2 linked regions of the Arabidopsis thaliana genome follow. The protein of the gene in region 2 purifies or fractionates together with the protein of the main gene of each other region. This does not show direct contact. Each region holds a gene or a part of one and is shown on either strand. Other genes may lie near its edges. The genes, in order: AT3G25660 and GATB.

The links.
Region 1: the proteins of GATB (region 2) and AT3G25660 fractionate together in Arabidopsis thaliana (co-fractionation; one large-scale study listed by BioGRID). This does not show direct contact.

What each region holds. Positions count from the first base shown.
Region 1 is NC_003074.8:9,338,773-9,344,123, forward strand, and holds AT3G25660 (Amidase family protein), read right to left. Parts: upstream 3,452-5,351; 5' UTR 3,273-3,451; coding exon 2,745-3,272; intron 2,537-2,744; coding exon 2,225-2,536; intron 2,136-2,224; coding exon 1,956-2,135; intron 1,873-1,955; coding exon 1,778-1,872; intron 1,693-1,777; coding exon 1,617-1,692; intron 1,540-1,616; coding exon 1,462-1,539; intron 1,374-1,461; coding exon 1,230-1,373; intron 1,149-1,229; coding exon 1,035-1,148; intron 955-1,034; coding exon 868-954; 3' UTR 570-867; downstream 1-569. UniProt on the Arabidopsis thaliana protein: Allows the formation of correctly charged Gln-tRNA(Gln) through the transamidation of misacylated Glu-tRNA(Gln) in chloroplasts and mitochondria. The reaction takes place in the presence of glutamine and ATP through an activated gamma-phospho-Glu-tRNA(Gln).
Region 2 is NC_003070.9:17,938,127-17,943,575, reverse strand, and holds GATB (GLU-ADT subunit B), read right to left. Parts: upstream 3,527-5,449; 5' UTR 3,392-3,526; coding exon 2,759-3,391; intron 2,638-2,758; coding exon 2,428-2,637; intron 2,339-2,427; coding exon 2,198-2,338; intron 2,128-2,197; coding exon 1,924-2,127; intron 1,741-1,923; coding exon 1,543-1,740; coding exon of another isoform or gene 1,501-1,542; exon of another isoform or gene 1,473-1,500; coding exon 1,404-1,472; coding exon of another isoform or gene 1,400-1,403; intron 1,312-1,399; coding exon 1,195-1,311; intron 1,117-1,194; coding exon 1,036-1,116; 3' UTR 712-1,035; downstream 1-711. Other genes in the region: AT1G48530 (proteasome inhibitor-like protein), read left to right, coding at 1-68.

The sequences.
Region 1 (5,351 bases), on a different chromosome or scaffold from region 2:
GCACATAATTTTGTTCTGTTATAACAACTAACATAACATTTCGTCCAACAAAAATCTCTTTTCATAGGTTAATGTGTTTATATATTCATGTGACAACTTTCACGGAGTAGACGTAAATGTCAAACCATGCACACGCATGATCCGTTGGATTTTGATCGTCCACTGGAGACAGATATTCGTCTGGACCACTAGATTTCTGAGATTTTAATATGTTTGCATAATTATAGGTAATAACATATGATTTCTTCAGAATTATTCTAGAAATTTTAAAGTAGTCTATACTTATACTCTAGCACCAGAGTTTCATTTTATAAAATGCCAATAATCTATTTGAAACGTGTAATGCTTTTGACCATTTATTAAGATTTGTGTTGGTACTAGTGGACAAATTTTAAGTTTACTTACTCAAGATTTATAACAAAATATACAAATTTAAATATTGTGTTAATCAATCATGATACAACCATAATTAATAATAATCATGTGCATGAATGCAATGGCAAGGACTTCTTTTCAGTTGATACAATTTTTTAGTTTATTTACTCAAGATTTATAACAAAATATACATATTTAAAAATTGTGTTAATCAATCATGATACTCAACAATAATCAAGTGCATGAATGCAATGGCAAGGGCCAAGGACCAATAAATCAAAAACGAATAAAAGAAAAAAACCATCCCCATTTAGGAGTACCAAATAAGAGCATAGAGACCAAGAAGAAGAAGAAGAAAGAATACGTATGTGGCCCATGGGGTGTATCTACATTTATATTATAAAAGAATTGAAGTACAATTACAATTGATAAATCCGTTGCTTAAACCAAGCATGAAATGTAAACGCAAAAAGAGCCTTGGTGGTTACATGGTTAGGCTACATTGGCTAACAATGGAGGAACAAAGCTCGATCCTTTAAGAGTCTGCTCAAATATGTGACCCACTTTCAGCAATTTCTCCTAAAACCAATCAACAAATCATCATGTGAATCTTAATCTAATCTTTTAGAGTAAGCAAAGAGACAGAGTTTATAACAAACCTCATCAAACGCTGCTCCGATCATTTGAAGACCAACAGGAAGACCCGAGGGACCACCTTCGACTAATCCACAAGGTAATACCATTGCAGGAAGTCCGGCAAGATTCACATTGACCTGCAACAAACCTCATATGATACAAACTATGTTTCGTGTAACAACGATTAAATAGAGAAAGAAACTACGAAAGATTTTTACCGTCATAATGTCTCCAGCATACATTGCCAGTGGATCATCTTTCTTTTCACCAATCTTGTATGCAGCAGATGGAGCTGCCGGAGAAATAAGGATATCGTTCTGTTCTAACGCTGCTTTGAAGTCTTTTCGAATTAGTGTCCTCACCTGTATTAACAACCAAACAAAAAGAGCATACATTTATCTATCAAAACAGGTTCTATTTCTATTGACTGCATTTGAAGATGCGGCTTACCTGTTGAGCTCGCTTGTAGTAAGCATCGTAGTAACCCGCAGAAAGTGCATATGTCCCCATTAAAATTCTCATTTTCACCTTGAAATCAAAATTGTCATTGATTATAATCAAGCATTTGTTGATTAAATCAGATGGAGTAAATTCTGAAATCATACCTCTCCTCCAAATCCTTCTCCACGGGAACATTCATACAGCTTATTGAGTTCTTCAGCCATAACTTGATTACCATATCTTCATTTCCAATACAAGAAACAATATCATTTTCTATATCCATGATGCACTCATATTGTGAGTCAAGTCATAATACCGAGATTACCTGACACCATCATAACGTGATAAATTCGAAGATGACTCCGATGAGGCAATAACGTAGTAAGCTGGTAGTCCAAGAGAGAATGAAGGAAGGGAGACCTGTAAATTTTGGCAACAAATCTCAGAATTTTTACACAAAAACGAAAAAGAAAAACTGAGACAAAGGGAAAAGTGAAAATAACCTCTGTCAATATACAACCCAATGCTTCTAAGTGAGACGCAGCTTCCTGAGTAGCAGATCTCACTCCAGAATCAACACCGTCTTCAAGTGTCTCGCGAATTATACCAACTTTCACTCCATTCAATGGTTTAGACTCAAAATGATCCACAGATAGAAACTGAGACTGGAACTCAGGCACATCCTGAACAAAGAGAAATATGTTTCTGTTTTCAAAGAAAACATCTTTCGTTCATTACAATGCAGGAAACCAACTACAACAAGAGACCTTACTTGTTTGCTACTCGTGGAGTCAAACCTATCATACCCCGAAATAGCATGAAGAAGCATCCCAGCATCAGCAACCGTAGACCCAAAACACCCAATCACATCCAACGAAGACGCATAAGCCATAAGCCCAAACCTAGAAACACGCCCATAAGTCGGCTTAAGACCTACAACACCACAAAACGAAGCTGGCTGTCTCACACTTCCACCAGTATCACTACCAAGTGACACCATACACTGCCTTGCTGCAACAGCTGCTGCTGATCCTCCCGATGAACCTCCCGGTACACGACTCAAATCCCACGGATTCGCAGTTACCTTTAAACCAAAACCAAACCCCAAGATTCAATCCCTATACCATCACAAGCTCCCCAATAAGACCATAAATAAAGGCTCCAACTTTATTAACATTGCTGAATCATTCAATCCTAAACCATCATCACAAGTCTCCCTAACAAAACCATATTCATCTATCTAAACATGCTCCAAATTTATTAACAATCATCACAAGATTCATAAGACAAACCTGAAAAGCAGAAGCTTCAGTGGTACTTCCCATTCCAAACTCATCCATATTAGTCTTACCAACAACAATCCCACCCAACTCTTTAATCTTCTTAACCGCCGTCGCATCGAACGGTGGACGATAATGCTCTAAGATTCTCGAAGCAGCAGTAGAAGGCATACCTTGAGTACATATATTATCCTTAACGCCGATCAAAACTCCGGCGAGAGGACCCAATTCCTCACCTTTAGCGATTCGTTGATCAATCTCTTGAGCATCTTTGAGAACATTCTCCGATACGTGAAGGAAGCATTTGAGCTGAGGTTCAGTGAGACGGATACGAGAAAGGTAAGATTTTGCGATTTCGACAGCTGTGGTTTCGCCGGAGAGGAGTGAACGACGAGTGGTGAGAATTTGAGATTGTGGTGGAGAGATAACGGAAGTGTCGATGGTCTTCGAAGAAGCTGCGGAGACGATGGTTTTAGATATTTGGAACCGGCGTAGAGGGAGGAGTGATAGAGAACGCGGCGGTTGCAATGTCGATAACATTGCTTGAAGTTTCGAATTTGAATCACTGAATCATCAAATTGGGAAGATAGTGAGTTTAAACTGAAATTGGGTAGTAGAGTAATAAGACAAAGAAGGATGAATTCTCCGGTGTAACGCCGGCGAAAATGTTTCGGCGACTGTTCGAGGAAGGAGAGAAATCATCAGGATAAGACTTTTTTCAGTGTTCAAAACATGGAGAGAAGATTTATTAGTGGGCCGAAATTAAATGGGTAATAAAGCCCAATACAATTTTTTCTTATCGTTAAAGCCCAATAAAAGTTAAGGCGGCGATGGTGTAGACTGTAGAACGAGTTATGAATAGTTACGACTTACGATTATCTATTATGTTATATGTATGTTCCCAAAATTGTATTTAACGTAACGATAATTATATATATTTTATGTTAAGCTTAAAACAGTTGACAATGAGAAGGTCTTTAGAAATTAGGTAACATTGGTAAAAATATACATTCAAGTATTTCCGCTGTAAAATCTTTACCATGCTTTTGAGTTTTAATCGAACTAGCCAATCAATGTTATTCGTATGACGTAAAAATTGAAAAATATGACGAACTTATGTCATTGGTTATTTGTGCTTTCCCTTGTTGACATGTATTAGTCATTCATTATACATGTTTTAAGGATATGACACTAAACAAAAGAGCTCGATATAATTTGTAAGTAAATAGAGTAAAGTATTTACTCCATCCAACAAAATCAATCAAATCAAGACGATAAAAGTGTCAAAAACTTGTACGGAAATTAATAATTACATTAACTGTATATAAATTACTTTACGGTAAAAAAGTGAAAAAAGAGCCAGGAAATAAGGACTGCAGGAACATTCAACTCTTGGCCAGAGGGTTGAGTTAATAAATTGTTCAAGAAAACCAAACTCATTACTAACTTTACTATTTAATCCGTACGGCTCATTGAAACTTGCAAGAATCATTTATTAAATATCATCATTGTTTTCAATTCCAAGAACATCTCATTGGATTTAACTGATTAAAAGGAAAATATAAATTTCTTTTTAATTTTGATTCACAAATCACAAGCTTGTGGATAAGATAGTAAGAAAAGATGAAATGGAAAAAAAGATCGTAAGAACGTATTTAACAATGAAAATACTTTATTCTCCATTGAAATTTTTAAGAATGATACGATAGACATAAATTGTAATTTTCAATAATTATATAAATAATCAAAAGTTTGAAAAAATGTTAGAAATATTATGTTATTCCTATTGAAACATAGAGGAAAAAGAGTGTTTTGGGAAATAGACTTTCTCAGTATTTAACTCAACAAGTCCGTAAAATATTACTAATGGGAATAAAAAACTTGTTAAACATAATTCAGACACGAATTCGACATCTTTTTCGTCTAATTCAATATCTAATGTCGCTAAAATCTTTTACATAAAACCAAAACTTGTTGCAGCCGAGTTATAAAACAAGAAAAACAATTATTTTTGCTTTTGTCTTAGTAAATACTGAGAAAAAGTACAGAAGCCGTCACCTATGAACAACTAATAATGACTTGTGGAGTTATGGAGACAGAGCCTATGAAAGCAACAAAAGAAAGAGAGAAAAAAATAGCTATAAATGATCGTAAAAAGCTAACTGCAAACTAAGAAAAAACAAAGTAAATAGTAAAAGAAGATTTTTTCAGTCTATACTAAAAACCCCTAACTGTCTCATCTTTAATTGAACATCAATATCTACTTTTAAAATTCACCAAAAAAAATATTGAAAAAATAAAAGAGTCATTAAATTCTGTATATGAAGTCAGAAAATTCCAGGCAGTACAAGGCTTTGTTTGGTTTGGTTTGTATTGTCTGTTTGAAACCAATGACAGAGCCTGAGACACCAAAGTTAGCTATCTTTGGATATATGCTTAAATGCTTTGCATGTTTATTTAAAGCATTTCACATTTATAGTCAAAACCAAATGTTTGAACCTAAACCTATACTATTGTCTATAGAGTTTAGTTTATACATTATACGATTAAAATGTCAATTTAGGATCGTCAAAACATTTAGCACAATTTGTCGTGGTTTTTACAAAACATATTCTCATT
Region 2 (5,449 bases):
AGAGTGAGATTTTGTGTAAGCTAAATACTGTTTCCACTACAACCAAGTCCAGCTCTGAGACTAAATGAAGAGCCTAGACATTATGTTGGAATAACTACATGGTCTTCCTAGAACATATAGTGTTTTCGTGTTCCAGTCGACCTGGTGGATGAATTGTGTTAAGGAGTATAAGTGAATCTCTTATAACAGGACTTTGAATTCTTCGAATAAAGGAAAAATGTTCAATGTTAAGATTTATCGTTGAGTCTTTGTTTAGCTTTCGCTTCCAAACGATATAACAACAGTAACTAAATCTTTTACCTTGTACATTTTTATACAATTACTGTATGCTTACTAGTTGTATTGTTCAGTTCAATAGTTCAGAAGTAGAATTGATAGAGTAATGTAATATGTAAGACAAATGATGTGATAACGAGTCATCTATGGTGTAGTCTGGAATCTCTCGTTCAATGCTACATGAATGTTTTAAAGTATGCATTTTGCACTTGAGTCTTGACCTTTGAAGTTAGAAGAATTCTGGTAATATGAGAGAGTAAAAACATTGGTTTACGTAAAAGTATTGTTCCCAGAAGTAAAGTTTGAGTTTTGCCTATCCTATAACTCTGTCAAAGTGTCAATCATTTATCAGAAACTTGGTATAGGAAGTAATGCTCATACTGAATTTGGATTGTTTTTGAGAATAAACCTGAGAAGTGCTAATTTACAAGCTAAGGATACCATGAGGAAAACTGCTCAATAAGAGGTAAGTCTCATGGTTTAACTAGTCTTCACAAATGAATCTTCTGGAATACATTAAAAAGCCGAGAGTACGAAGGGCATGGACCCGGAATCTAGTTTCGACAATGCAGCGTCAAGATGTAATTGATAGGTATTTGAAAAGAACAGATTATGTTTTAACCAACAACACATTTGCAAAGGAAAAGATTTGTACAAGAACATTCTAGTTCAAGAGCAATAACCAACGAGCAAAAATCACTTTGTACCATTTCAATGTCTATTTCAAGAGCAATAACTCTGTCAATGCTGAAGCTTCAATCAGTCTTTGGCATTGAGCTTCTCCAGGAGGATCTTGTTCAGTAACCCTGGGTTTGCCTTGCCTTTCGACATTTTCATAACCTGAACAAAGCATATACGAGTTTAAACTGCTTCACCAAGTACAAGTTTTCAAGAAAATGAGGATCGTATCTGCCATACCTGGCCAGCAAAATAGCCTTGAAGCTTGGTTTTCCCACTGCGGTACTGCTCAAGCTGCTTTGGGTTCTCAGAGACCACTTGAATAACCATTTTCTCAATCTCTGCAGGATCAGTTATCTACAGAGAAGCAAAAGTCATTTCTCAATTAAAAATGGCATGTTGGAAAGTGAAAGATGTAATTCTCTGGTTTCAACTCTTCATGGACTTGCCTGAACTAAATCTTTTGCCTTTATCATTCCTTTGACGGTTCCACCTTTGGCTAATAGCTCAAACAGTATCTGCAAAAACGGAATTCATCGCATTGATCTAAGCGAAAGATGATGAATTTGTAGATTGAATTGAACCGACCTCTTTTCCGATCTTTCCGCTAATGGTTCCATCTTTGATTGCAGCTATCAGTTCAGCCAACTCTTGGGGAGTGAGTTTAATATCATTGATAGAAAGTTTCTCATTTTTCAAGTAAGCAGCAATATCACTCATTATCCAATTTGCTGCCAACTTCACTTCAGCACCCTTACCAATGACTGCATCGAAATATTCTGCAACCTATGCCATTCATTCAAACAACAGTTTACTCGTCTTGCTGTTATACAAAAAAAAATCTATATTCTCACCAAATTGATCAGAAAGTTTACTCTTTAGCTCTCACCATTGTCTTCTTGTGAAGATAACATAAGTAGGTTCATTATGTATCTAAAATATCATCTACATTGAGCAAATAGGACTTACACTGACGTCATTCGCGAGGAAAAGCACATCTTGCATGCCTAGACCCATCGCCTCATATCTCCTGCGCTTTGCTTCAGGGAGTTCCGGTAAAGAAGCACGAATGCTATCAACATATTCTTGGGTAAGGATAACTTCTGGAAGATCTGGTTCTGGAAAGTAGCGGTAATCAGCAAGCCCTTCCTTTTTCCTCATTGTTACTGTTTTCTGAACATCTACTCAAGTTAGTTGCTGATGGAAAAAGGAAGCACCTGATGAAAGAGTTTTAGCTTAGAACCTGAGCGCCTTCTTCCCATAGCCGAGTCTCCGTTACAATCTGGTCTGCTTTCCCCTGATTATAGAGAAGTGCTTGTCTTGATATCTCAAAGTCTATTGCTCTGCTAATTGCTGAAAACGCGTTCAAATTCTTTATTTCTACCTGTAACTCGAATCAGCAACGAGATTAATGAGTGGATCATCCCTTCACATAAATGACAAAGAAATATAGAGAGAAAGAAACTTGTTGACCTTGGTGCCAAACTCAGCTTGCCCAATAGGACGGATTGAGATATTGACATCGCAGCGAAGAGAGCCTTCTTGCATATTCCCATTACTGACTCCCAAATACCTCGCAATCCGTTGCATTTCACAAGCGTATTCAGCAGCTTCTATACCACTTCTCATATCAGGTTCAGAAACAATCTCAAGTAAAGGAACACCTGCTCTATTCAAATCTACCTGCACCATTAGAGTAACCAACTAACACATAAGAAACACAAACATCTTGCATCTGAAACCTAAAACCCTTACAAGAATCTGATAAAACCAAACTGAAACGTGTCATAAATTCCATATGAACCTGAGAGTAATCTCCTGTGTCTGAATGAAGTAACTTGCCAGCATCTTCTTCCATATGAACCCTAGTAATACCAAATCTCCTATGTCCACCACCAAACTCAAGAGGAATATCCACATCCACATAACCACCAGATGCAATAGGAATATCAAACTGAGAAATCTGATAACCTTTAGGAAGATCTGGATAAAAATACTGCTTCCTATCGAATTTAGACTTAAGAGACAAATCACAATTCAAAGCTAAACCCAATCTAACACCAAATTCAACAACTTTGGAATTCAAAACAGGCAAAGCACCAGGCAAACCCATACAAACAGGACAAATACTTGTGTTTGGATAAGAACCGTAATTGTTAGAGCAACTACAAAAGGCTTTTGTCAATGTAGAGAGCTGAACATGAGTCTCTATCCCAATTACAGCTTCGTAATCTCTCAGAATCTCATCAAGTTGGTTGCTTTTGTGGTTTTTTGGAGCAACCCTTGTTGGAGAAGACTGTTTAGCTTCATGGGTCGTCGTTGTTTGGCTTCCACAAGACCTCACGGAGAAGTTGTTACTCCTTCTCCTTCTTAACAAGCTAGTTCCGAGAAGTGAGAACTGGTTTAGCTGAATTGTTCTCAACAATGTGGTAGACATGTTTTTAAGGATGTTTTATAGAATCAGAAATGAAGAAATTGAGTTCATAAGAAGACAGGACCTGCTCGTTTCTCACCGGAATCTTATCGGAGAAGAGCCGTCGACTTATCTTTTCACGCATCATCTTGTGCGCAGGGGTGTTATCCGAATTGGGCTTAATTGAGTTATTGGGCCTGTTATGTCTTTTTAAGCCCAAATCTCTCTCTGAGACTCTGATTAGCTTCTCTTTCTTTCTGATCCAGAGATAGGTTTGGGCTTTTAACTTGTTCATCAAGTTAGTGATCATTTTTAGTTTAGGTTTAAATCCGTAGATTAATTCTTGTTTGCATATAGTTGTTATATAGTAAACAATTGTCTTATATAAGACTACTATATTTCCTGTTTTTGTATTCACTTTGACATCAATTGCTCAAATGTTTATAAAAATTTGGAAGATGAGATCAAATAGAAAAAGGAGGATCCTACATATTTTATTTTCCTGCAAGAAATCAAACAAAAATTATTAACGATCTTATAAATTATATTTGTTAAAAACAAAATCAGAAGGAAAAGCATACATAGAAAACATTAAACATGAAACTTTATAAAAAAAAAACATTATATGATGAGGAAAAAAAGAACTCTCAAAAAGAAAATTATTTTTAACCATAAAATTTTGGGAAAAGAATTATGTCCATGTATTAAAAAAAATAATTGGACACTGAAAAAACATCAAATATCTAATGAAAAACCATAAGACTAACCTTTGATTAGATGATGCGATGAGACGTTAAAGGTGAAGAGTATTTATAGGCAATTGAGTTATGTCTCAAATCTCTTGGTAGCCAAACATAAAATATTTGATACCATAACTAAATTGGAATAAATATATGTAGTGGTTTTTTAAGGAATATGGTACCAATCTGATATTGAAGAGTAATAAATAGTTTATATAAAATTGATTTAATGAACATTGTGGAGAAATAAATCATAGATTTTATACTGGAGTAATTTGTTAAGATCACACAAAATAATTGAGATTTTATTTTTTTTGAAAGAATGTAAAATTATATTCAAACAAAAAACGTTTATACAATAAATGCTACTTCATGCTGAAATTTAGAAGAGAAGTAGAAACAGAGTTTGACATAGAAAAACAGAACACTCGGGCTAAGAGGACGAGCGTGTGGAGAACCAAAGCTGCAGGCCATCCTTGTAACGATGGTTGCTAGTGGCTGTGATTGTGCTGAGACGGTTCCGTACGGTTCCATCGATTAGCTTGAGATTTTAAAAACAATGAGTCGAGATATTTTTTATTTTTCATCAAATATGCTAAATCTTAAGAATTAAATTCAATAGCATTCATTCTTCCATAAATAAATAGTGTAGTAAACCCTTTATTGATTTCCCAAAAGTCATCAAAAAAAAATATATATATATATAAAATTCAAATATTATAATATTTGAAATTTAATAAAAGTCTTAATACTATAAACATTTAAAACGTTTATAAATAAGAGCTTTGGTAAGCCAAAACCTTCTTCTCTTCTAAGCCAAGAACTGGTCTTCTAGATCTTGTGTCAGTGTGTCACAAGTTTGTTTATACCAGTGGGTCCAACAAAGCTTAGAGAGGCTATAATAGAAATTGCCAAATATTCTATAAAGAGAGCTGCTCATCGATAAGTCCCTTGAAAACTCCAACGAAGATGGTGCAAAGTTTATTGTCGGATTCTTAGCTCAAAACGTTTTTCCGATGTGAGAATGCCAGGATGCATGTAGTCTTATTTAAAGCTTTTGTTACACATATACAAGAGTTAAGACAAATAGATACAATTTCCAAAACTAAACCTTCCTATCAAAATCTGAAGAAACAAAAGCTATACACTATACTATAGTTACGATACGTTCATATATATACTCAAAATGGTCGGGGTCTAAATTTGTCTTAGTGCAGATGATGAGCTGGAGGAGAGCTTAATAACGCAATCGGACAACCGTGTTCAATAGTCTGTTGATGACTTGTTGTCCACGTAATAGGGTGATTCGTTAATGACCCTGCAAGAAAACAAAAGAAAACAC